Xenopus tropicalis: one gene and its partners. The protein of the gene in region 1 purifies or fractionates together with the protein of each later gene. This does not show direct contact. Links are inferred from orthologs where the notes say so. Each region holds a gene or a part of one and is shown on either strand. Other genes may lie near its edges. The genes, in order: daxx, adnp, dnmt1, hipk2, cbx5 and baz1b.

What was found.
Region 2: the proteins of daxx (region 1) and adnp purify together in Homo sapiens (affinity purification with mass spectrometry; 4 studies listed by BioGRID and IntAct, with this or other methods). This does not show direct contact. The link is inferred for Xenopus tropicalis from reciprocal best matches to the Homo sapiens genes DAXX and ADNP.
Region 3: the proteins of daxx (region 1) and dnmt1 purify together in Homo sapiens (affinity purification with western blotting; 4 studies listed by BioGRID, with this or other methods). This does not show direct contact. The link is inferred for Xenopus tropicalis from reciprocal best matches to the Homo sapiens genes DAXX and DNMT1.
Region 4: the proteins of daxx (region 1) and hipk2 purify together in Homo sapiens (affinity purification with western blotting; 3 studies listed by BioGRID). This does not show direct contact. The link is inferred for Xenopus tropicalis from reciprocal best matches to the Homo sapiens genes DAXX and HIPK2.
Region 5: the proteins of daxx (region 1) and cbx5 purify together in Homo sapiens (affinity purification with mass spectrometry; 3 studies listed by BioGRID and IntAct, with this or other methods). This does not show direct contact. The link is inferred for Xenopus tropicalis from reciprocal best matches to the Homo sapiens genes DAXX and CBX5.
Region 6: the proteins of daxx (region 1) and baz1b purify together in Homo sapiens (co-immunoprecipitation; 3 studies listed by BioGRID and IntAct, with this or other methods). This does not show direct contact. The link is inferred for Xenopus tropicalis from reciprocal best matches to the Homo sapiens genes DAXX and BAZ1B.

Annotation. Positions count from the first base shown.
Region 1 is NC_030684.2:72,192,460-72,195,360, reverse strand, and holds part of daxx (death domain-associated protein 6), read left to right. Parts: intron 1-2,060; coding exon 2,061-2,208; intron 2,209-2,328; coding exon 2,329-2,901. UniProt on the Homo sapiens protein: Transcription corepressor known to repress transcriptional potential of several sumoylated transcription factors. Down-regulates basal and activated transcription.
Region 2 is NC_030686.2:35,649,558-35,653,810, forward strand, and holds the start of adnp (activity-dependent neuroprotector homeobox protein), read left to right. Parts: upstream 1-1,428; 5' UTR 1,429-1,757; intron 1,758-2,554; exon of another isoform or gene 2,555-2,652; intron 2,653-3,766; 5' UTR 3,767-3,903; intron 3,904-4,253.
Region 3 is NC_030679.2:137,119,411-137,123,727, reverse strand, and holds the start of dnmt1 (DNA (cytosine-5)-methyltransferase 1), read left to right. Parts: upstream 1-1,445; 5' UTR 1,446-1,709; coding exon 1,710-1,759; intron 1,760-3,611; coding exon 3,612-3,654; intron 3,655-3,865; coding exon 3,866-3,973; intron 3,974-4,317. UniProt on the Homo sapiens protein: Methylates CpG residues. Preferentially methylates hemimethylated DNA. Associates with DNA replication sites in S phase maintaining the methylation pattern in the newly synthesized strand, that is essential for epigenetic inheritance.
Region 4 is NC_030679.2:7,953,469-7,957,190, reverse strand, and holds part of hipk2 (homeodomain-interacting protein kinase 2), read left to right. Parts: intron 1-1,392; 5' UTR 1,393-1,394; coding exon 1,395-2,461; intron 2,462-3,722.
Region 5 is NC_030678.2:145,616,089-145,620,592, forward strand, and holds the start of cbx5 (chromobox protein homolog 5), read left to right. Parts: upstream 1-1,694; 5' UTR 1,695-1,840; intron 1,841-4,504. Other genes in the region: hnrnpa1 (heterogeneous nuclear ribonucleoprotein A1), read right to left, coding at 1,171-1,185. UniProt on the Homo sapiens protein: Component of heterochromatin that recognizes and binds histone H3 tails methylated at 'Lys-9' (H3K9me), leading to epigenetic repression. In contrast, it is excluded from chromatin when 'Tyr-41' of histone H3 is phosphorylated (H3Y41ph).
Region 6 is NC_030678.2:41,885,022-41,888,743, reverse strand, and holds part of baz1b (tyrosine-protein kinase BAZ1B), read left to right. Parts: intron 1-2,879; coding exon 2,880-3,722. UniProt on the Homo sapiens protein: Atypical tyrosine-protein kinase that plays a central role in chromatin remodeling and acts as a transcription regulator. Involved in DNA damage response by phosphorylating 'Tyr-142' of histone H2AX (H2AXY142ph).

The DNA of each region.
Region 1 (2,901 bases):
CTACCCACCACCCCACCTATCCCCCCACATGCCCTTATGGGGAAACTCTCTACTCCCCCACCTCAAGAACCTACCCGACTTTTTAGTCTGTCCGAGACTGGGGATCAAGAAACTAGAAGACCTAGCCCAAGGTGTACAGTTCCCTACGCACCAAGAGCTGTGAGAAAAAGAACCCCAAGTGCACCTATTCAGATACCTACAGCTAAGACACGCCTTTCTGGCCAAGTTCCAAACCCTCACCCCAAACCTGGTCTCATTGGACCTAGAAACAGCACTTAACCAACACATATCAAAAAAGCTCCTTTCTATGCACACCTCCTGGAATCCAATGCCATGTGGACCACCTCAATCCCTAGCTTAGAGCTGGGCGGTATGACCAAAAATTTATATCACGGTATTTTTCAAAATTATATCGGTGTCACGGTATTTGACTGTATTTTTTTTTTTAGGTATGCAGCTGTTCACAAAGAGATGTTCTCCATCCCTTCGGGAACATTGACTGGGTATTCATAATAAGGGAAATATTCTTTCCTTCTGGTCATTTACTTAGATGCAGGTTTATGAGACCTTTCGTCAAAGAATTCTGCTTTGCAACGCATTATCAAGAATTAATGGGCTTGGTTATGCTGCTGATTATGTTTTTTTAATGTTCTAAGGCAATTTTAAAGTGGACCTTTATTAAAGATACAAAATTGTCTAAAAGAGCACTGCCCTCATAAAACTAGGGTCACAGGTGAAATGTAGCAGGGCTAATATGAAATTCCACATGTACCTCCTCTACAACCCCATGCCCTTAACGGCCCTGCTCCTTCCCTGCACCACCCGTTCCTCTGACAAGTGTTACTATCTTTTTATTTGCTTTCAAAATTCAGAGTGGCGTTAACAGGCACCTACCTGGACCTGGTTTCAACTGCGCATGCTCTGTCAGCAGTCGCACAAGTGGTGTGAGATGGTGCCTGTTAGACCTGCTGCACAGCTTTTCATGGGAACAGGTAGTGTGGGGAAGGGGGCCTTGGGACCTACCTACAGCCCCTCCCCACCATATCCTTTGCTCCAAGACAGGCGGAGACGGGCCCTTTTAAAAAGTTGCGCCGTACGTGACGTCAATACGCACGGGTGCAACTTTCTCGACCGCAACTTTCTCAACCGCAACCCCGATCTACACCGGTATGGGGGTATTTGAAAAACTAATATCAGCTTTTTTAAAAAAAAAAAAACGGTATTCGGTATATGGCGGTATACCGCCCAGCACTACCCTAGCTTAACGCTAGAGCAGTAGGAGGAAGCCACAGAAAGCTTCTATGAGTTTCTTATTTCCCTACGGGACAGGCTGATTCAGTATAAGGTCTTGCACCAATTGTATATTACACCCACTAAACTCTACAAATTTGGCAAAGCACAAAACGTTTGTTGTCCAAGGTGCAAATCCTCCCAAACGGAGTTTCTCCACCTAATCTGGAGCTGTCCCCCCCATTGCGCAGTGATAGTCTGCAGTGATGGATACCATATCAACAGAACTAGCGCTACCTAATGTGATCAATCCAACAACCTGTCTCCTAGGCACGGTGGAGGACATACTCCCCACCAACGCAGCCAGGGCAAGATTCAGATTTTACGCAAAGAAAGCAGTCATAATGAGGTGGATGGGCAATAGTGTTCCCACACTCGAATTCTGGCAACAGCTTATAAATGCTGCCCTACCCCTCATAAAACACACTTACCAGACCAGAGGGGCACAAAGGAAATTTGAAAAAATTTGGGGTATGTGGTGCGAGTCAAGCCGGTCTTTAACTATCTAGAAGGGGGCCATGTCCAACTTAACACTACGCATTAGGGCTACACCTAGCACCGTAGTACCGCGCAACTAACCTGAAATTGTGAAACAAAAACATTTACTAAACAAAAAATTTTACTAAACACCCATCTTTACTCATGTAACCTGTTTTTATTACATGTAGTAATTTCATTTTACTGTTATAAATAAAGAAAAAAAAAGTAGATCTCTCATCCATAAAGTATAGGAACCCCTACTTTAACTAGTGTCTCTTTTTGCATTGTAGATGTCTTCGCCAAGGAAAAGAAAGGTTTCCTCGCCATCTTCAGAAGAATCAGAGGCAGAGGAGTCGGATGACTCCATAACTGATATTGAAGATGAGCTGAAACAATGTGAGGCATTGTCTGATGAAGAGGAAGATGACATGGATGCAGGTGAGAAGGGGTAAGAAAGTTAAATCAGGGAAACTGCACAAAAAGCAATCAATGGCACAGAACAGTTCCAGAAGAGGCAAAATGCATAGTAACCTCCCTGCTTTCAATTTCTTTCCTTAGAACAACTTTCTGTTGACCAAGACAATGAGGAAGACCCAAACAGGGAGACAGAAATTGAGTCATTCTCTTCAGCTGAGGAGGAGAAAGAAGATGAAAAGGAGGATGAAGACCAAATCCAACATGGAGAAGATAAAGAGAAGGAGGGATATACGAAAGAGGAAAGCAGGCCAAAAGATGAGGTTGATAAAACCATGGTAAAAAAAGATGGAGAAAATAAAGAGTTGTTAATACAGACTTCTGCACAGCCTTCTCTTTTATCATCTCATGGGAAAATTTCAGAAATACTAGAGATACAGCAGGAGTTGCTTACACCTCATACCTCTTCCTGTCTTCCAAACCAAAGCCAGAGTAATTTAATATTGAGTACTATAGAACTGCAAAATGAATTAGTGGAGTGTGGTATTCAACAGAAGAGTATCTCAGAAAACACAAAAGACTGCCTTGAATTGCCAGAAAATGAGAACTTAGTGGAAAATGAGGGACTGCCACATGCTGCAAGCAATGTTGAGTTTGAAAATGCAGTAGTTGTGGGTAAAAAGACTGACATGTCTACAAATAGGTCACCTATGGACT
Region 2 (4,253 bases), on another chromosome or scaffold:
TTCTGTATTACCTTTCCTTCTTCACTGATGAACTTTATCAATTGCTTGTATGTGTTAAGCTGTTGATTGGGACATTCATGATTTTATTAAATTTTGTATAATCTTCTTTAATTGTGAGTACAATTTTAAGTAATATATAATTTTATTTTTTTGTTTTTTTAATATACTGGTTGGTGATGGTAACTGTTGGTTTATTGCATTAAATATATACTTGAACTGTACTTTATTATATTTAAGTCAGTTTATGAATATGTATCACGTAAAGATCCACTGAACATTATAGGCTGGGTGGGGCATTGTTTAGACAACACATAAAAGACTGCAACACAGTGGAGCTGACGGCAAACACTGGAATTAAATAAAAGGCTTGAAGTCAGATTAATCATGTTTAGGGTTATTGGTCCTTTGAATTAAGTTGTCTTCATTTTTCAATAATTTCAATTAATTTTTCAATCAATTCAATCAAATGCTTAAATACATTTGCCTATTTTTTTTTATAATAAATAGGCCTGTTGGTAGTGCCCATACAGATGCGCTGCTAAATTGGTCTGAAATTGGCAACTTAAATAGGCATGTGTATTGTTACCTTTAGTCTAGAAAATCAGAAGCCCCAAGAATAGAAGGGCAATGGCAAACCAAAACTACTTTAGTTGAAAGAAAATATTCCAGGTCCCCAAACATACCATGAAATAGGGTCCTGATTGTATCAGAGAATGACTTTAATGCTTGGCTGTTGACCATAGAAAGCAGCTAATTGGCTTTGAGGGCACCTATATGCACAATGGGTTACTAACTAGCAATCAGTTCTGCTAAAGGTGCTGATGCTTTGCAACTGCCAGAGGGATGCTGTGGTACCTACTATATTGGCACCATAATACCTAGCTAAGGGATTTTACTTGTCATTTGTTAGATCCTCAAGAACTACAGTGACCACTGGCTGGAAGATGTCACCTCCCTCCAAAGAGACCATTGTAAATTGGCAGTCCTTGGCAGCCATTACTGTGGCCAACTTAGTTTCCCAATGAGCCTCTTTCCACAGAAGTGTAACTCATGGGATGCTTACTTCTTGCTCCTGATATAGTGCCAGTAGCAATGAAATTGGCACCCAGTCAGGGAGCTGCCCTACCAATCTCTTCCCTCCACACCACCCAAACCACATGGCTGCAGCACTGAGAACCCAGCACCACGTGACCAAACCCATAATAGTGCCGGTGGCGAAGGGATACCAAGAACACCGCGCATTCCCACTGTAATTTTTCTGTCTTTGAAGTATCCGTCCGCAAAAGGCGCCCCCTAGCGGTGAGAGGGAGATTATCTTGGTGACCCGATTTTCTCTTTCACCCCCAAATTCCTGCTGGACAAGATCCCCTTTGTGCATGCCCATCTCCCCGGTCCCCAGGTGCGCGGCTGCAGTGGAGTATTTGTTTTTTCCCGGGCTCCCGCCAGCTCCGGACAATGAGTCCCCCCACCCCTCCTTCATGCTAATGAGCGCTGACGTCACTTCCGCTCCTTCGCGGCCGCCATTTTGGCCAGGGCAGGATCGGAGCCGCTGCCGCCGCCGTGCTGTATTGTCTGCAGGAGGAGGAAGTGCACCCGGCGGAGTCACAGCTGCAGCCACCGGCACCGGGAACTGACTCCACCCCCTTCCCACACACAAACACGGGGCTCATGCTCAGGCGCATTGCCTGGCACCCCCATATCCCAAGGGGCCATAGGCTGCCCACCGCCTCGGGCTGACAAGCAACCCCCCGGCTCAGGTATGTCTGGGGCCGTGAGCGGCGTAATGGTTACAGGGTGGGTATGTTGGGGTGCATCTTCTCATGAAGTCGGAGTGCCTAACGTGAGGTAGAACTAGAACTCCCAGATCCCCCCTATAGAGGATGATGGGATTTATAGTTCAGGAATTGGGGGGGGTGACAGGGGGTAGAGCAGAGCTAGTTACGGATAATAAAGTTACTGGTGGTGTGAGGAACAGATGGAAGTTATTAAGGATTGGGGAGACACTGAGGGCTGCAGGAAGTGCGGGGCACAATGGAGTTGGTGGAAGTGCAGAGAGTGTGAGGGACACAAATAGGGGATGGAGATAGTGTGGGGACAGATAGGCAGGCTGATGGGCCCAGTGGGCAGGGGGCATACCTGGCTATTGTACTGAGCACTCACATCTGTGCCGGGCAGCTCTGATTGGATGCGGATAATGATGGTTGTGGGGACAGACTTGTTACTTTGGGTGTAGGGATGGGGGAGGTGCCAGTATGAGTCCTGTTGCCCCCATTGCCACTAGCTGGGGTGCCCCAATGGGATGTGTGGGTGGGCACCCTGCTGCTGGGGAGTTCCAGCCTGACATGCAGTGCCGGTGGGAGCTCGGCTAGAGGGGTGCCGGGCATGGAGGGGCACAGGATCCGGCTGTGGGTGCAGCGGGGGGCATGGGGTTGGCGCTGCCATGCTACATAAATAGAACTTCGTATTGCGTGCAGTTATGAAGCCGGAGGGCCGTACCTCGGGCATCCCAGTGGCATGAAGGCAAAGGGTTAATATATGGGAGGGGGTGGGGATAGGGGCTGCCCCCACCCTCCCTTGTCTGGCTGCTTCTGCTGCAAAAAGGCGCGATCCTGTAGGAGGAACCTTTAAACCAGCATGCTCCCCTCTCCCCAGGTACACATGGGCTGGCCGGCGCTAGGGTTTAGCGGCAGGTGGGCTGCACCACTCCCCGTAGTGGGGGTCCATCACAAAGGCGCTCGATCCGAACTGCTGCCGGTGTTTTCCTGCGCTGCACATGGCCTGCTGTCACAGTGATGGCTTCGCATTAGTCATGCACTTTAGCGCTGTTTGTTTTCTCTATTTGCACGGCTGCGAGCTGTGGCAGGGGGGAAAAAGGGGAATAAAAAAAATAACAGGCAGCCTCCACCCAAGATGCACTGCAGCTAGAAAATGGCGCCTCACATTCCAGTAGGGGGCGCTTGCTGTGCGCCGGGTAAGGCGCTGGGGTGGGGGGATGGGTAGACTGAAGCAAAACTGGAAGCTGCTGCACAGCGCCTCCTATAGGTTTGGGAGTGGAATGCGGCAGGGCCCATGACAGCAGCATTATGCACTGCTTGTGCAGAGAGCCAGTGATTCACTCCCACATTCCCTAGGCCCCTCTGGTGCTTCTAGGTGCAGGCTCTAACTTATCCCTTGTTTGTTCAGGTTTTGCCCATCACTAGTGTAGAGCATGGATGCACTGCTTGGGACCTTCTGAGTGCTACAGTTCCCAGCATCTCTGCTAAAGGCTGCTAGTGATGGTTCAGCAACACCTTAAAAACTATACTTTGGATACCTGGGTATAGCCCCCCTGTCACAAAACTGACTTGTCAAATTGGTGCCTTTTCTTACTCATGGCAATTTACTTTACTCCTTGTGTCCATTAGGGCTATGCACCTCACATCAGATTATGCCAGCTAGTTATTTACCACTAACTTATCCCTTGTTTGTTCAGGTTTTGCCCATCACTAGTGTAGAGCATGGTATAGTGTATTCAATAACAACACCTTACCTTACTTTTAGCATTTTTCGGGTTCAACGTTTTGTGCAACTTGTGCAGAAACAGAACTCCCAAATTATAAAGAGGGTGGCCCTGGGAAGGGGGTGAAACATAACTGAACTGATAGACTAATGTATCAAAGCACTAACCCAGTAAGTGGCACTATAGAGGGGAAGAGTAGAATCAGAGGGTACTGTAGTTTTTAAGAAAATACCATGTGCTTAAAATTCAATCATTTTCTCTCTACAGGTGGATAAATTCATTGGCACTTACACTTTTTCCTTGGATTCCTATCTGCAGCACCTTGCACTGTGTGGGACATACAGCAACAAACTGGCGCTCGGATCATCATTTCAATCTTCCTTAACTTTATTTTGACATAAAAGGTTTGTTTTCATTTCTCCTTTCTACCTCTAAGCTTTTAGAAAAGAAGGATGGTAGTAAGGACTGTGTTTTTGCATGGCATGTTAGAGGACCCTGGAACCCATGGAGTGAAGTGTCTTTAGTAACCATCATTATTTATCAACTGTGTAACCATGCTTTAAAGTTAATTACTACTGAAAAACAGTTCTTTTGACTAATAAAAGAAAATATAACTTAACTTTTCAAAATACATGCATTCCTGATTTCATTAGTTTTAAAAGTTATGTGTAAATGTTATTAATGTTGAAAGCTGTATGTGTTGATCCATTTTTGTTCTGCGTCAGCCATCCTGCAGGTCTGTTACCAGCTAGTT
Region 3 (4,317 bases), on another chromosome or scaffold:
AAAAGGATTATTTTTCAGTTATTTGTGTTCTTTTCAGTAAAACACCTCTGTCTATCCCTGCCACCTCCTTCTGTGTCTTCTCTAATAAATACGCACAACAGAGACCTTTCCGCACACCCTAGCTCTCCAAAATAGCCGGTGCACACTGCTGGAGGGATCGGCACCCTCCCAAATCCAATGTAGCAAAAAAAGGCAAATGGCACTCAGGACTGCAAGCAAGGGAACAAACCCTTTAAATTTTTATTGCGGAGGTGCAACATTTCGGGGCAAGATTACCCCTTTATCAAGCATGCTTGATATCTTGCCCCGAAAAGTTGCACCTCCGCAATAAAAATGTAAAGGCTTTGTTCCCTTGCTTGCAGCCCTGAGTGCCATTTGCCTTTTTTTTCTCTAATAAATACCTCTTTCTTTCAACCCTTAAGTAATAATCTCGGATTGTCTCCATGCATCTTGCCTGTATGTGTACCTGTTGGATGAAAGCTATTGTATAGCAACATGTTGGTCCTGTCTGTGGGTTTTCTAGATATATATCAGTCTGTATGTGATTACCTGTACATCCAAATTATCAGCGTATCATGATATACCAGTGTGAACTTCATAGCCCTCTGTACCTTGTTCATATATTCAGCAAACTGCCGTTGCCTCTGTTTCAAAATAAATAAAATATTATCAACATATCTCTAGTAGTGAAAGATATTTTTGGAAAACCTATCATTTTGTAAAAATGCGACAGTTATGGCTCAGGGCCACATTACTTCCCATGCTCGTAGCTTGCAGTTTGGAATGGTATTTGTCCTGAAACCTAAATTAGTTTTTACTGATGACAAATTCCATTAATTTACACAAAAAGCAACGTTTGGAATCATTCATTTTAGCTCCTCTGAGGTAATTTTGGAAGGGTTTTAGCAGGGTCAGACTGAATGGGTGCAGGGCTGTCGAGAAGTTATTGCTTATATATATAACTACTGAAGTTCCAGGTTCACTTAATATATTAATACTGCCATTGTTATTGTCACATTGTTATTATTATTATTGTTGTTATTATTGCCATTGTTATTGTACCCCGGCCCTGACACCAGAGAGGGCCCAACTACCCTCACAGCCTTGCTACTGGCTTTGTTTTACCACACACACATTTTGGCGCCAGCAGTTGTCAAGGAAGCAGAGCGCACTCTGTCAGCGCGGCCCCAGCTGCTGTGCGTCATTGCGTCATTACGGCGCCCCGCCCTCTTCCCCCTTTGAACCTGTCGCTGCGTCACACAACACGGCGCGCTGGGGCAGCCCGATAATTCCACGCTGGGGGGGCGGAGTTGAAGTAAAGCAGAATGAATGATCTGCCATAGCCCTCCCCTCCATAATGTGAATACAAACGCCCTACGCTGTCTATACGCACCAATCAGCGCTTCCCTCGTTTTTGTTTCGCGGGTAAAAGCAAAGCGCGGGAGAGCGCGGAGGGGGCGGGGTTACGTGACGGCGCCCGGTTCTTTTGCCATTTGAAAAGGAGAGGCGGTTCCGTGCGGTGGGTCACTGTGTCTGGCTCTGTCGCTCCGCACTTATCACGCCGCTGCTTGCTCTCTCTGTTGGTATAACTCACCTTGAGGTGGCGGGAAAATCCCGAGCTTCCCGCGTTGTGAGGAACTGAGACCTGCCCTTACGGGAACGGACCGCTGCCTCTGACCGAGTCTGTCTCACCGCTGTTATATACCGCCATGCCGGCCCAGTCCGCTTCCCTGGCTCTGCCTGCCGATGTCAGGAAACGGTAAGGGGAATAGCCCGTGTCACTGGTGTTGTACCCCCCCCCCGCTCCCCACCTGGTAACGGAGACATTCCCGGCATGCCATGCCCACGTTGAAGCTCCCACTGTTTGGGCTCCGCAGATATGAGATTATTATTTCCTTGTAGGTGTTGGGGAGCGACATGTCTCCTCCATTCAGAGCTCTGCAATATGGGGTACGTGTTGGTACCCTCTCAGGTCACATGTTTATTACCTGTCAGGTCCAGATATGGGTACATGGACATAAATCACTGATATATTCTCAGGCTTCCTGAAAGCGTATGGAAGAGGGCTGGGTCAGAGCTGGGACTCCTGGGCCCCTACAGTTGGGGCTGGGTCAGAGCTGGGACTCCTGGGCCCCTACAGTTGGGGCTGGGTCAGAGCTGGGACTCCTGGGCCCCTACAGTTGGGGCTGGGTCAGAGCTGGGACTCCTGGGCCCCTACAGTTGGGGCTGGGTCAGAGCTGGGGCACCTGGGCCCCCTACAGTTGGGGCTGGGGCTCCTGGGCCCCCTACAGTTGGGGCTGGGGCTCCTGGGCCCCCTACAGTTGGGGCTGGGGCTCCTGGGCCCCCTACAGTTGGGGCTGGGGCTCCTGGGCCCCCTACAGTTGGGGCTAATCGCTAAGAACCTGGTATGAGGTTCAGGTACATGGTCTGGTAACTGGTACAGTGGGATTATTCACCTTTTGACTTAACTGTTTTTTTAATTTTTTTTTAAACTATCCTATATTGGCAACAGGGCTGCCTCTCAAAAGCTGCCACCATAGCCATAGGCCCTTGGGTGCATATATATATATATATATTGCAACTTTCCATATCCCATGAACAGCTGAAAGTTGTGCTGGGAGTTCTATGAAGACACGTTGACCCTCTTGGTAATCTTTGTAAGAAACACTATTTTCACTTGTAAAGAATACCATAGGTGTTGTATGCCAATGATATACTAACAATGGCACCTATGGGGGGGGCAATTGCAAGTTTGGCAGGCAGTTTTGGAGTATTAATCCACTTGTGGCATCTTGGCTGATAAAGAGGGTGAAGCTTATTAGAAAATAACCAAGCATTGATGTTTAGAGAGGCGCACTGCTGAGAGCTAACTTTGTGCCCACTAAGCCCCAGTATAGGGTATTCAGCAGAGAATGTGACTTGGTGTACTTGTAAACACAACTCTGATTCTGGGACAAGCAGTGTAAAAGTATAGGAACTAAATATCAATGGCAGCTGATCCAACCCTTTGGACATGGTAATGGTGGACATTTGTTATAAACTTGATAAACCACTTAAAGTACCCTCAGGGGACTCATTGAACTTGCATTTTACTCAAAGTATTTTGAAGGAAGTACTGCTACCAGAAAGCAACAAGGCTTTGTAGGCAAACCTCTGTGGGTTGCAAAATGTCCAAAGTGTGTACTGGTTTGTTTTTTTTTGCAGTCCTGCTTATGACATTAACATGAATGTGAAGTTCCCATATGGACTTTGCTTCTGGCTAGAAGTACTTTCAGTATCCTTATCTGTACAGTATCTACATTCCAGTTACAATTTAAAAGCAACATTATGTTTAGGTGATAGAATATGTGTTCAAACATATTTAAATATGTTTGTTATATAGAAGAATGGTCGGTACCATGAGAATCAGCTTACCTGTTTTACTGAAGCGTCTATTTAGCTGCAGTACCACTTTTTCATGTGTACCGTGGCACCACCATTTCTTACCAGTGTTTGAGATATTCAGGCTGTGCAGGTCCTATTGGGGAAACTGTAGTTTCCCAGTTATGAGGTATAACATTCCATATGTGGTGTATATTAAAGCAAAATCTCAAATATTTTTTGTATTTTAGGCTAAAGGATTTGGAGAGGGATCAGGATGGAATGACAGAAAAGGTAACCTTTCTATCTCCCCTTTAAAAAAATATACAGATATGAATCGCAAAGACAAGTTGATATTTTACTTTAGGTCGCCTATGCTATCCTGTAGTTGGTATTTTCACTGGCTGCAGGGGTGGGGTGTTAATATTGCTATGTAGAGATAATAAACTTTAACATTAAGATCTATTTGACTAATGTTTAACCCTTTTGTATGCAATATTTTCAGGAATGTGTACAACAGAAACTGAGTTTGGTGCTTGGCTTCCTTGAAGCAGATGCTAGAAACAAACTAAGTGATCTGGAGAGCAAGCTGAGCAGCGAGGAACTGTCTGAGGTACGTCTCATTACTAGTAACGATAGGAATGCATCTTCTGGTTTGCATTTTGAAATTAATTACTGTATGGGTTAGGTTTGAAGTCAGATAACTATCTGAGCTTTATGAAGCGTTACATGGGCAAGGTATTTATGTTCCCAGGTGTGCACAGTAAAGTAACGTTGGGTGTATGTGCAGTACAGTAAAATTCACCATCTTTAGTCTGGGAGGAAAGAGATTCAACAAAGCAAGTGGTGCAGGGTTTTTTAATTTTAAAGGAATATTGTCATCGGAAAACACGTTAATAGAGCTTCTTCAGCAAAATCCTGCATTGTAATGTTTTCAAAAACATTTTTCTATATTTA
Region 4 (3,722 bases), on another chromosome or scaffold:
ACTTGCCATGGCTACTAAAGGCCAGAAAATCCCCTGCCATAGACAATATTGGGAATGGCCTCTGCTAGAGCTGGGCGGTATGACCAAAAATTTATATCACGGTATTTTTCAAAATTATATCGGTATCACGGTATTTGACGGTATATAAATAAAAAATAAATAATAAATATTGGTGGCCCCAAAAAAACCATATCGTTTTTTTTTTTAAAAAACCGGTATACCGGTTAAACCGGTATACCGCCCAGCACTAGCCTCTGCTAAAACCCATCAGTAAATGATCAACATTGTCTGTTTTAGTAGCTGCTACTGGTAGCTCTCTGTGTCTTCACCCTTAGGGTGAAGACACACAAGGCTACTAGTAGCAGCTACTTTTTTGCAGCTACTAAACTTCAGAAAATACCTTTCCATACTGAGAATTGCCTCTCCTAAAACACACGTAGAAACAGTTATCAGTAAATGATCAGCATTGTCATTGTCAGTAAATGATCAGCATTTTAATAGCCGCAACAAGTAGCTGCTACTAGTAGCTCCGTGTGTCTTCACCCTTAAGGTGAAGACACACTGGGCTACTAGTTGCAGCTACTTTTTTGCAACCAGGAACCACATTAATGGATCTAACCAGGAACCACATAGGAGCCATGTAAGTTCTTCTATGTAAGGATCTAGTTGGGCTTATGGATGGGTCTAACCAGGATCCACATAGGAGCCATGTAGGTGCTTCTATGTAAGGATCTAGTTGGTATTATGGATGGGTCTAACCAGGAACCACATAGGAGCCATGTAGGTGCTTCTATGAAAGGATCTAGTTGGGCTTATGGATGGGTCTAACCAGGAACCACATAGGAGCCATGTAGGTGCTTATATGTAAGGATCTAGTTGGGCTTATGGATGGGTCTAACCAGGAACCACATAGGAGCCATGTAGGTGCTTCTATGTAAGGATCTAGTTGGTATTATGGATGGGTCTAACCAGGAACCACATAGAAGCCATGTAGGTGCTTATATGTAAGGATCTAGTTGGGCTTATGGATGGGTCTAACCAGGAACCACATAGGAGCCATGTAGGTGCTTCTATGTAAGGATCTAGTTGGGCTTATGGATGGGTCTAACCAGGAACCACATAGGAGCCATGTAGGTGCTTCTATGTAAGGATCTAGTTGGGCTTATGGATGGGTCTAACCAGGAACCACATAGGATCCATGTAGGTGCTTCTATGTAAGGATCTAGTAGGGTTTATGGATGGGTCTAAACACAGAATTGTGACTTTATAAGAAGATAAAAACATAGATTTGGTTATTAAGTATTTACCCCCAGTTGTAATATTTATCCTTCCGTGTAAGTGCCTTTTGCCCCCAGTGTACGTCTAATTGTGGGTCTCTCTCTCTCTCTGCAGGTATGGCCTCTCATTTGCAGATATTTTCCTCTCACGGCCTCCCATTGAGGACCTTTTGTAAGGTGAAGAAGCCGAAGCTTGAACTGAGCCCGGGCTGGGATATGACTGGTTACGGTTGCCACAGCAAGGTCTATAACTCGGGCAAGAACAGCTCCACGTCTGGCCAGCCGGTGCTCAGCCACGCCTCCCTCCTCCAATCCTACGAGCAGACGGTCATCTTTCCCACCAGCGCGGGCCACATTGTGGTAACCTCGTCCAGTAACGGTTCCTCAGCGGCGACGGGGCAAGCACTAGGCGGCCCTCAAACTAACCTGATGCGGCGCAGCACGGTCAGCCTTCTGGATACCTACCAGAAGTGCGGGTTGAAGAGGAAGTGTGAAGAGCTGGAAAATAACAGCAGTGTACAGATCGTGGACGAGCATCCCCCCGTCACCCAGAACAATGCTAGCGGGGCCACTGCGGCTACCACCTCCACCGCCACCTCCAAGAATAGTGGCTCCAACAGCGAAGGGGATTACCAGCTGGTGCAACACGAAGTCCTCTGCTCTATGACTAACACATATGAGGTGCTGGAGTTCCTGGGCAGAGGAACCTTTGGTCAAGTGGTGAAATGCTGGAAGAGGGGAACCAACGAGATTGTGGCCATCAAGATCCTGAAGAACCACCCGTCCTACGCCAGGCAAGGCCAGATCGAAGTGAGCATCTTAGCCAGGCTCAGCACGGAAAGCGCCGACGACTACAACTTTGTGAGAGCCTACGAGTGTTTCCAGCACAAGAACCACACCTGCCTGGTCTTTGAGATGCTGGAGCAGAACCTCTATGACTTCCTGAAGCAGAACAAATTCAGCCCGTTGCCCCTCAAGTATATCCGGCCGGTGCTGCAGCAGGTGGGAACTGCTCTGATGAAACTGAAAAGTCTGGGGCTTATTCACGCCGACTTGAAGCCGGAGAACATCATGCTGGTGGATCCTTCCCGGCAGCCATACAGGGTCAAGGTTATAGATTTTGGTTCTGCGAGCCATGTGTCAAAAGCGGTCTGCTCCACCTACCTACAGTCCAGATATTATAGGTAAGTTGCCTAAAGAGATACCTGGTCTTAAGGTATAGTTTATCATGTACCATATATACTCGAGTATAAGCCGATCCGAGTATAAGCCGAGGTACCTAATTTTACCAAAGAAAACTGGAAAAACATATTGACTCGAGTATAAGCCTAGGGTGGGACATGCAGCCGCTACTGCTAAGTTTTAATAATCAAAATAAATACCAATAAAATGACATTAATTGAGGCATCAGTGGGGTATATGTTTTTCAATATTTATTTCAAAGAAAAACAGTAAACTAGCTCTGTAAGTGGAGAAGAGGGTCAACAAAAACAATATGGTATCAACAATGATAACTTAAGAGTACTACCCCCTTAGCTCAATCAGCAACCAAGCTAAAACACAAAGAGTTAAAATCCTTCAAAACTATATATAGTTTATATAGAATATAAAGTGCAAAATGGGAAAGGTGAGGATGGTAGATGAAGATGAATTTTCATCTGGAGGGACCCACGGCACCCGACTCGAGTATAAACCGAGGGTGACTTTTTTTCAGCACATTTTGGGTGCTGAAAAACTAGGCTTATACTCGAGTATATATTGAATTTTTACCCATAAAGCCATATATTGTGGACTCTGTAGGGTCAGGAAGTCTTTAACTCACGCAGAGGGTGGGAATGGAACACTTTGATGGGATGGGGGGGGGGGGCAATGATTTATGTAGGTGGATCAGGTGAGGAATGGGTGAATAAAGGCCAAGTGTAGGGCATTGTGGGTTGGCTGAGGGAGGGGGTAGGTACAGAAATGGCCTGGCCAGTGGGGAACAGTTAAACTATATGTCCAAAATGGACACCAGGCCTAGAACCCACTGTGATATTTCCCGGTATCAGAGTGGGCCAGTGAGACCCTTCTTCCACCCACTGCAAGTTGTAGAGTTGCCTTATACAAATTAAGCATTGTTTCACCTCTGGCCAGGCCATTTCTGTACCTACCCCCTCCCTCAGCCAACCCACAATGCCCTACACTTGGCCTTTATTTACCCATTCCTCACCTGATCCACCTACATAAATTATTGCCCCCCCCCGGGTTCCCGGATACCTTTCCATTGGCGCAGGAAGGCCCCGGCCACTCCCAATACCTGTTGTGCTTTGGGCAGGGGAGCCCTTGAAATCGGGTAATTTGATGGGCCCCAGGTGCCCTAGTCTGATACTGGGTCAAACTAAAACAGTTAACAGAGGGGGGGGGCAGGAAGTCTGGAACTTGTGGGTAGGATCAAAACACTCTGAT
Region 5 (4,504 bases), on another chromosome or scaffold:
GAATAGGAAGCTAATTTGTCTAGTTTGGAACACCCTTAAACAGGTGTCAGTTTTGTACAATGTAGACAGACACGAGGTTTACTAGCATGTACTGGGTTTAACTATGTTGGCTGGATGCCAAAAGCAAAGGGACAGGCACAAAGGATTATTTTTCTTCATCTACTATAAGACCCTTTCCTATTAATTTCACCCTCTACCCAAACCACAAAAAAAATAAAAAAAATTTAAAATAAAGCCTATCTTGCACTTAAGCAATAATCTATAGCAACCAACGAGATGTTTGGCCTTTGTTCAGCCAGCAGCAGGAATGGTGAAACTACCACTGATGTGTTGCTATGGGTTACTGCCTAGGTGCAAACTTGCCCAGTGATTAAAAAGGAGACTCGCTAATTGGGCAAAGTTAGCAGCCAAGCCTCTAGGTGGGGGAAGTGCACTGGTTAGGCCTAACCAACCCAAGCCTCTAGGTGGGGGAAGTGCACTGGTTAGGCCTAACCAACCCATTCACCAAAATGGTGAATCACCAGTTTCCCCTCCCCCACCGCGATACCATAAGGGTCATTTTTTTCTATAGGAACAGGTTTCATTTAAGTTGAATGTGTAGAAGCCATAAATAGCGAGAATAATAAGTATATTGTTAGCCTGAACATCGAAGCTGAAAACACGCGTTTTTACAAATCCGGGAATAAGTTTGCCTTTCTGTTACCAATTTGTACGGTATCCGAGAGAGAGGTATTCTTTTATTTATTGCTAGAGAATATCTAATATGTATTAAGGAGAGGCCTAATCATGTGTGGCGTTAGAGAAAAGGCGCCTTCCAGCTACGGGCCACAGCGCCGCCATTAAGCGAGTAGAAAATAGGCGGTACCATAGCGCCTCGCAGGGTGGAGCGCACAAAATGGAGTCAGACAAAGGAACTCTACGCAAAGCTTCCAGCTCGGCGTCTAAAGAAAATCCCCAGCCAGGGCCTACATGTTATTCACATAATTTAGTCGTTATCTAATATAGCCTGACCTACCGTAGCACTCTCATATATACAGCATACAAAAAAAAACCTGGCCCAAAAAGGCGCCAACACTCCTACTGATACTTATGCCCATAACTAGAAGGCGTAAAACTAAACGACTATGATAAAAAGAACCGAATGCATTATGCACTGGCGCTAGGCCTTACCTCGGACTTGTGCATGGTGACTCTCCCCGATGTTAACTCAACAACAGCAGAAACAAAAGAGAAGCGACAGGAAGGAAGAGTGGGGGATTATAGCGCAATGGCAATGTATATTTAGTGCGCCAGAATACGCCCACTTGCCTCCTAATTGGTCGCTGTCTGCGTAGGCATCGTCGATTGGGCAACTAGCGTGACGTTTAACTTCAGCGATTGGTTAAGACGTTGAGGAGGAGGGGAAAAGAAATCGGGTACGTTTAGTCAGTCCTTTTGTCCGGCCTAAGTGAGGTGCTGGTACGCCCCGTTTTCTCATTGGGCGAGTGATTATCGGTGTGCATATTTTATACAGAGATTTCCGTACTGGCCCGGTGCTCGTTTTATAGAAGTTCGGGCAGATTTGGTTCTAGCCATTGAAATTACATTTTATAGGGCCTCAACCTTTGGTTATGAATTCTGGTGAATGGTTAGGCTGCAGTATGGCACGGACTGGGCATAGTGTGTACCCGAGGAGGGGCATTCCTTTAGGCTGGAGGGCGGTGTTGCGCATGCGTCTAGTGGGTTGTTTTTGGCGGGGTTTGGTCGCTGGCTGCGCACAGTACCGCTCGGTAAGAGCCTTCACTCAATTCCTGCTAGCGAGCAGCTTTCGGTGGGCGCACGGTGTATTTCGCGCAGGAAGGTGAGTACAACTCGCTGCCTCCCACCCCTCCTCGGCCCTTCCCATTCATTGGCTGTGTGAGGTGCTGCTGCTGGCACTGTGCGAATAATGGGGTGCCCCGGCTTCATTGTGGGAGACAGGGACAGTGATGTGGGAGACAAGGGGCGCTGCTGATTGGCGGAAGCTTGGGGGTCATTCGCAAACTTTGGGAGGAACGTGTTGTACCGTTCAGCCGTGTAGCCGGGCAGCGACAGTGCGAGGCTTAACTTAGGTACTTACCTGGGGCTTACAGACAGCGCTGGGCAATACCCATTGCTCTCTCCCCCTGGTATTGTATCCTGGGCTGGTCCTATTGGACTATTATACAATAAAAACCTGTATGGCATGATTCTGTTGTATATTCTCTGTATACAGATATCGGGCATGGCCAACATCCAGCTGTTCAGTTGGGGGAGGTGTAGTACAACAGCTGGATGTTGATGTGAGTCCTCCATTCATTCCATCATCATTGTGTGTCAGCAATCACATATGGAACGTCTGCTCTTCTGCACCCCTCCAGCTGCTGTGAGCTATGTCTGCACATATCAGCCAGCAGGTCAGAATGGTGTAGTTCAGCAGGAACAGTCTGCCAGGGGTTGGGCATCCCTAACCCAAGTAAAACCATGGCCTGTGGCTATGGAAATGGTAATACATGCAACACGCAGTACAGCAGCTTTACACCAGGCACATAACTTACTGGTATCACTTGAAGCAGAAAAGCAGTTTCTATGCAGTTGTCTCCATAGGTTAAGGCTATTTGCAGCAATTCCACACTTTTCTGTTAAATGAAGAGTGCCTATATTCAGAAATTCTGCCCTTGGAGGGGGGCGCATGCAACGCAAATAAGAGCGTTGCAAAATGGCTTCAGACATCACTCAGACCAGCTCTAGGCATTTCTATCAATCTCACCTCCTGTAAATAAAGTAAATACCTTGCTTACATGAGGCTTGAAGGGGGTCTATGGCAGGAGCTTAAAAACTACTATGCTTACAACCAGCTAGGCTGCTACCTAGGGAAAATGAAAAATGTCCCTAGGGAAATGAAAGGGAACGTGTATTTATAATATGACAATACACTTTAAGCAACGGCATTCCTTTAAATAACCTTCACACCTGCATGCCAACACAGCAAGCTTACTAGGTGTAATCACTAATGCTAACCTATAACCATACCATCTGGCAATTCTGTAGATTCTGGCAAATGCCAGAGGGGCTGCAGTAAGGTGTGGTAGACAGTCACTATTTATTGGGCCAGTGGAGGGGATTGGGCCTCCGTGTATGTCAAATACCAGGGCCTATTATGAATCTTAAGGTGTCCATGCACTGGGCAATTTTAGCTGCCAATATTGGTCCTTTAGACTGATTTGGCAGCTTATCTGCCCATGCATGGGCACCAACAACAGGCCCCAACTGACATCTGACTTGAAATCGGGCAGGTTTGATATTTACATTGAATTGGGGACCGTGTCGGCTCGTTTATGCAGTCTCTGAACTGATGGTGCCTATGCCCACCATTCTAATTCAATTGTTTGGCCCTAAGTTGAATTAGCCCAATATCACCCACTCGTAGGGGGCCTATCGAGAGAATATCGGATCTTACGGTGTATGGCCACCTTTAGTCCAGACTCCCAGATAAAGTCTGCTGGAGTATAGGGAGTAGTAGTTGAACAGCAGGAGGTTCACAGGCTGGACATGTGGGCTTAAATGTGCCTTTGTATACTTTATTCTTAGACTGTAGACATCTTATGTATATAAACAGTAAACATGTATAAACAGTGGGCAGATTTCCACATGGGCAGTAACCCATAGCAACCAATCCATGACTGCAGATTGAACAATGAAAAGCAAAAATGTGGTTGCCATAGGTTACTGGCCAGTGTTCATAAAAAAGCCCCTGTACACAGTCTACTTTGGAAGGGCAGGTGACATCTCTGTTTACCACTTGACCACAAAGGGGTTAAGATAACTGAGTGAAATTGCTCTTAACTTTCACTCTTATGTACTGTTTGATGACTTTATTATTTCAGGTTGCTTTTGCAACTTAAGGTGGAACTCCACCCAAACACAACTTAAGCGTTTTAAAGAGTAACTTTGTAATATACATCAATTAAAAAATATGCAGCAATTTCATGATTTTTAATATACAGGTATGGGATCCCTTACCTGGAAACCCATTATCCAGAAAGTTCCGGATTACGGAAAGGCCAACTCCCATAGACTCCATTATATGCAAATAATTCTAATTTGTAATTCTTTTCTCTGTAATTATAAATCAGTACCTTGTACTTGATCCCAATTAAGATATAATTTAATCCTTACTGGAGGCAAAACAAGCCTATTGGGCTGTTAAAGTAGTCGACTGTTCTTAACCTGCAACCTCCAAATCCCACAATCCCCTGCCGACGTGATGTCAGTAAGCAATGGTACATCATAGTGCAGTGCATTGTGGGTTATGTAGTTCTTGCATGCTGTCTGTAAGCTGTTGAGAACTTGTTACTATTTGTAACATCAATGTTTTAGTCCCTCCTCTCCCACCAGGATTTCAAATGATGCAGAAAGGTAACTGTTTTGAAGCTGGATTTCAGCATATAAAAATGGTATTTGTTTATACTTTTTGAAGGAACAGATTACAGTGATAGGTGTATTA
Region 6 (3,722 bases), on another chromosome or scaffold:
TGTTTCGGGTATTCAAAGTTCCCTTTCTCAAGCCCAAAAGTTATCTTACTACAAGCTCTTTGCACAGCATTTAAAGAAATCTAATAGGAAATGACCATCCATCCTCATATATTATATATATGTTATTGGAATACATTATATCTTAAATTTCACATTGCACTTAGTACTCTAAAGTAATTGCAACATGAACTCTTATTTTAAGAATAAATACAGATCGTAAACATCATAATCTTTATTTAATCCTGCAGAGAATTTAATTGTGTATCCAGCGCACTTCACTTTTTTCAGTCATAATTCTGTCTCCTCCACATTTTAAAGGAAGGTCGCTTCCAAAACCATAAATCTCAGCTGACCTGCTCTGTGTTGCTATTCTATAAAGTGTTTATAAGCTGGTTGTTTTATAATTCACAATTTAATAGCAGGTTTATGTTGTGATATACATGGCTTGACCGTCTGCATGGTCTCATCTATATAGATGAGACCGCACTGACATTTCAGCACATATTTCAGCATTTCAGGTCACAAATTTTGAGATATATGAATGGTAGTCCTGTAATTGTATCATCTTCCCTGTGGCTGGATGTACAAACTCCTTGCCCTTGATGATACTGGAACATTGTGTACAATATAAAGGGAACATAAAATATTGTTTTCAGTCCCAAAATTATACTAGTTTGATATTTTTGGAACAAATTATGAAGCTGTAACGGTGCTTAGTAATGTCATGGTCACTCTTAAGATGATCTTCCAATTTAAAAACCCACTAGGATTGTTTTACAACCAATATGGATTATGCCACATGTTCAGCAACTCGGTGAACAGATCTTGCTTATCGTGCTAATCTATGATATATGTTTGTATATATGTGTGTCGTTGTAACCACTGACTGTTCAGGACTGACTGGTTTGTTTGCTTATTTGCACAGGGAGGGGCAATATGGTGACGACAGATGAGGCAATTAGTCGCTGTGATATTTAGAATCTAGCTGCAGCGACTAATTGCATTATGCAAAATTCATGTGCTTAGTTCCATACGGTACATTTCTCAGGAAGTTAGGGCCGTGGAAAACGGGGAGATTAATCTCCCCGAAATGCCATCCCACCGGCAAGGTTGTAAATCGCAGGTGTGATGGCATACGCAGCGACAAAATCACTGAAGTTTCCTCTAAAGGCAACTTCGGTGAGTTCGGCAAATCGCCACGCCGCTTATGTCGGTGGGATGGCATCTCGGGGAGATTAGTCGCTCGCAACAAGGGAGATTCTTCGACAAAGATTAGTCTCTGCAACTGTGTTTTCTGTCACCATGACTGGTGTTTTAAAAAGTCGCTTCAACTAATTACCCCATCTGTCTTTGCCCTTAAGGGACACTTAGGGGGGGCAAGATAGCAGCTCCCAGTAGATATGAGAATAGCACTCAGTAGTAAGAAATCCAAGTCTGGCTTGGGACTCCTCCACCTACAAGGGAGTAGGAGAAACCATAGGTTACCTGAAAGCAGTTCCTAATGTGTAAGCGCTGGCTCTTTCTGAAAGCTCAGACTCTGGTAAAATGCACTGAGATGGCTGCCTACACACCAATATTACGACTAAAAAAAAAAAATTTTTGGTTCAAGAATAAGATTTTAAATGGTAGAGTGAATTATTTGCTATGTAATCAGTGTAATTAAGGAATAAAAAGTATACCATAAAAATCATGACAGTATACCTTTAAGGAAAAATGTGGTGTTGGTGGAAAACAGATACATTTTTTTGATGTCCTAAGAGTTCCACACTATTCGAGTGTGCTGCATTCTCATCTTAAGGAAAAAATTCACATGATTTAACATTTAAAAGAGGATTAACAGTGCATCTTAAAACTGCAAGACAACGGGCACAATGAGTGCTCAATGTAGTAAGAGTGGGCAGACCGTAAAATGGAGCCCATGTATATATAGGTCTGTTCCGTTGGCCTATCAATAGATTTACACAGTGCACAAACAGTAATCACTGTTACCAGTAAGTGACCAGTTCTACAAGGTAAAGCCAATAATGCACTTACTGGTGTGTTTAGAAATATGCATGTAATTGAACTAACTGCTAATGTAGTTTCCAGAAATACATGCTCTAAGTATTTAAGAACTTTTGAACTCATGTCCCGTATTCTTGGGATGTTGAAATTGCTTGTTTGGGGATGGTGAGTCCATAGTATAAAATCTTACAAAAGTTTATTTCTGCATACAGTCCTTGTGGGCTTCAAGTGTTGCAGCAATAAAAAGCAACTCTTGTCCCTTACTATGACATGATGTTACCATTCTCTTCTCTACCACATCCACACCACAAACTGGATTTTTAAGTCCTATATTTTCAACACTCCTTTCTGTATTTAAAAGGTTCAGTATTCGTGTATAGTGTGTTGTGCAATTCCCCTTGGAGCTTTGGACGCTAATATGCCCAGAAAATATGGGGAATAACTTCCCATTTCCTAATATGAAGAGTTTGTACTTATATTGTACCTTTAATCCTTGCATTCCCCCTAGTAAGTTCTGATAAGTTGCAGACCCATAATAAAGTAGCATAGTTATACGAAAAAAGGCTTATATTTATTTTATATTATCCAATTCAACATTGTGCAAATACTTGGACTACAAAAGTCTGATCCTGCTGCTTCTCTGTGTTCAATGATCCAAAACTGAACAAGGTAGGATGGCTTATCATTAGTGGGTGCACTGATGCCTGTGCCCCATGCAGGTCAGTGTAGTACACTTCAGACATGTTGGTCGATATTAAGACTGCATTTGGCAGCCAAAAGGCATAATACAGTAAACTTGTGCCACGTAACCCAATATTTATGGCAGCTTCGCTTCGATTTAACTATTTACTTCTGCTGTGTTTTTATTTTTGCAGTATATGACTCTAAATCCATCATCAGCAACAAAAAGGAAGAGTCTGGGATCCCCTGACCATAAACCAGCTAAGAAAAGTAAAAAATCACCACTTAGCCCATCATCGTGGTGTCAGGTGAACCTTAAGAAAACGGGGATTACCAGTTCCTCTTCAGAAGAAGAAATGCAGTTAATGAATGGTGCAAACTTAAACAAAAAAGGCAAGAAATCGGACAAGAAGAAACCTAAAAGTGGCAAGTCACAGCTACTGAATGGCCAAAAAGTTTCTGGCAAGGCTCGCTCTCCTAAAAAAGGGTTAAAGAGCCCAAAGTTAAAGCAAATGACCTTATTGGACATGGCAAAAACAACTCCAAAAGTGTCCCGGGCCCAAAAAGGGGGTGCAAGCACACCTAGGTCAAGCAGCAAACCCCACAAATACCTACCCCCTGCTGCTCTCCACTTAATCTCTTACTACCGTGACAACAAGAACCGTGAAGACCGTAAAAGCGCTCTGTCTGCACTGATTTCTAAGGTGGCTCGAATGCTGTCTGCTGAAGACCGCAAAAGGCTGCCTGATGAGCTTCAAGAACTAGTTCAGAAACGCTATGAACTGCTTGAACATCGCAAGCAGTGGGCAGTGATGACAGAGGAGCAGCGTCAAGAATACATGAGCAAAAAGCGTGAGGCGTTAAAAGCCCGTATTAAGGAGAAGGCTCGGGAACGGAAACAGAAGGAGAGAGAGGAACGTCTGGAAAAACAAAAGCGATATGAAGATCAGGAGCTCACTGGTAAAAGCTTACCAACTTTCAAACTTGTAGACACCCCAGAGGGACTACCAAATGCTTTGTTTGGGGATGTAGCAATG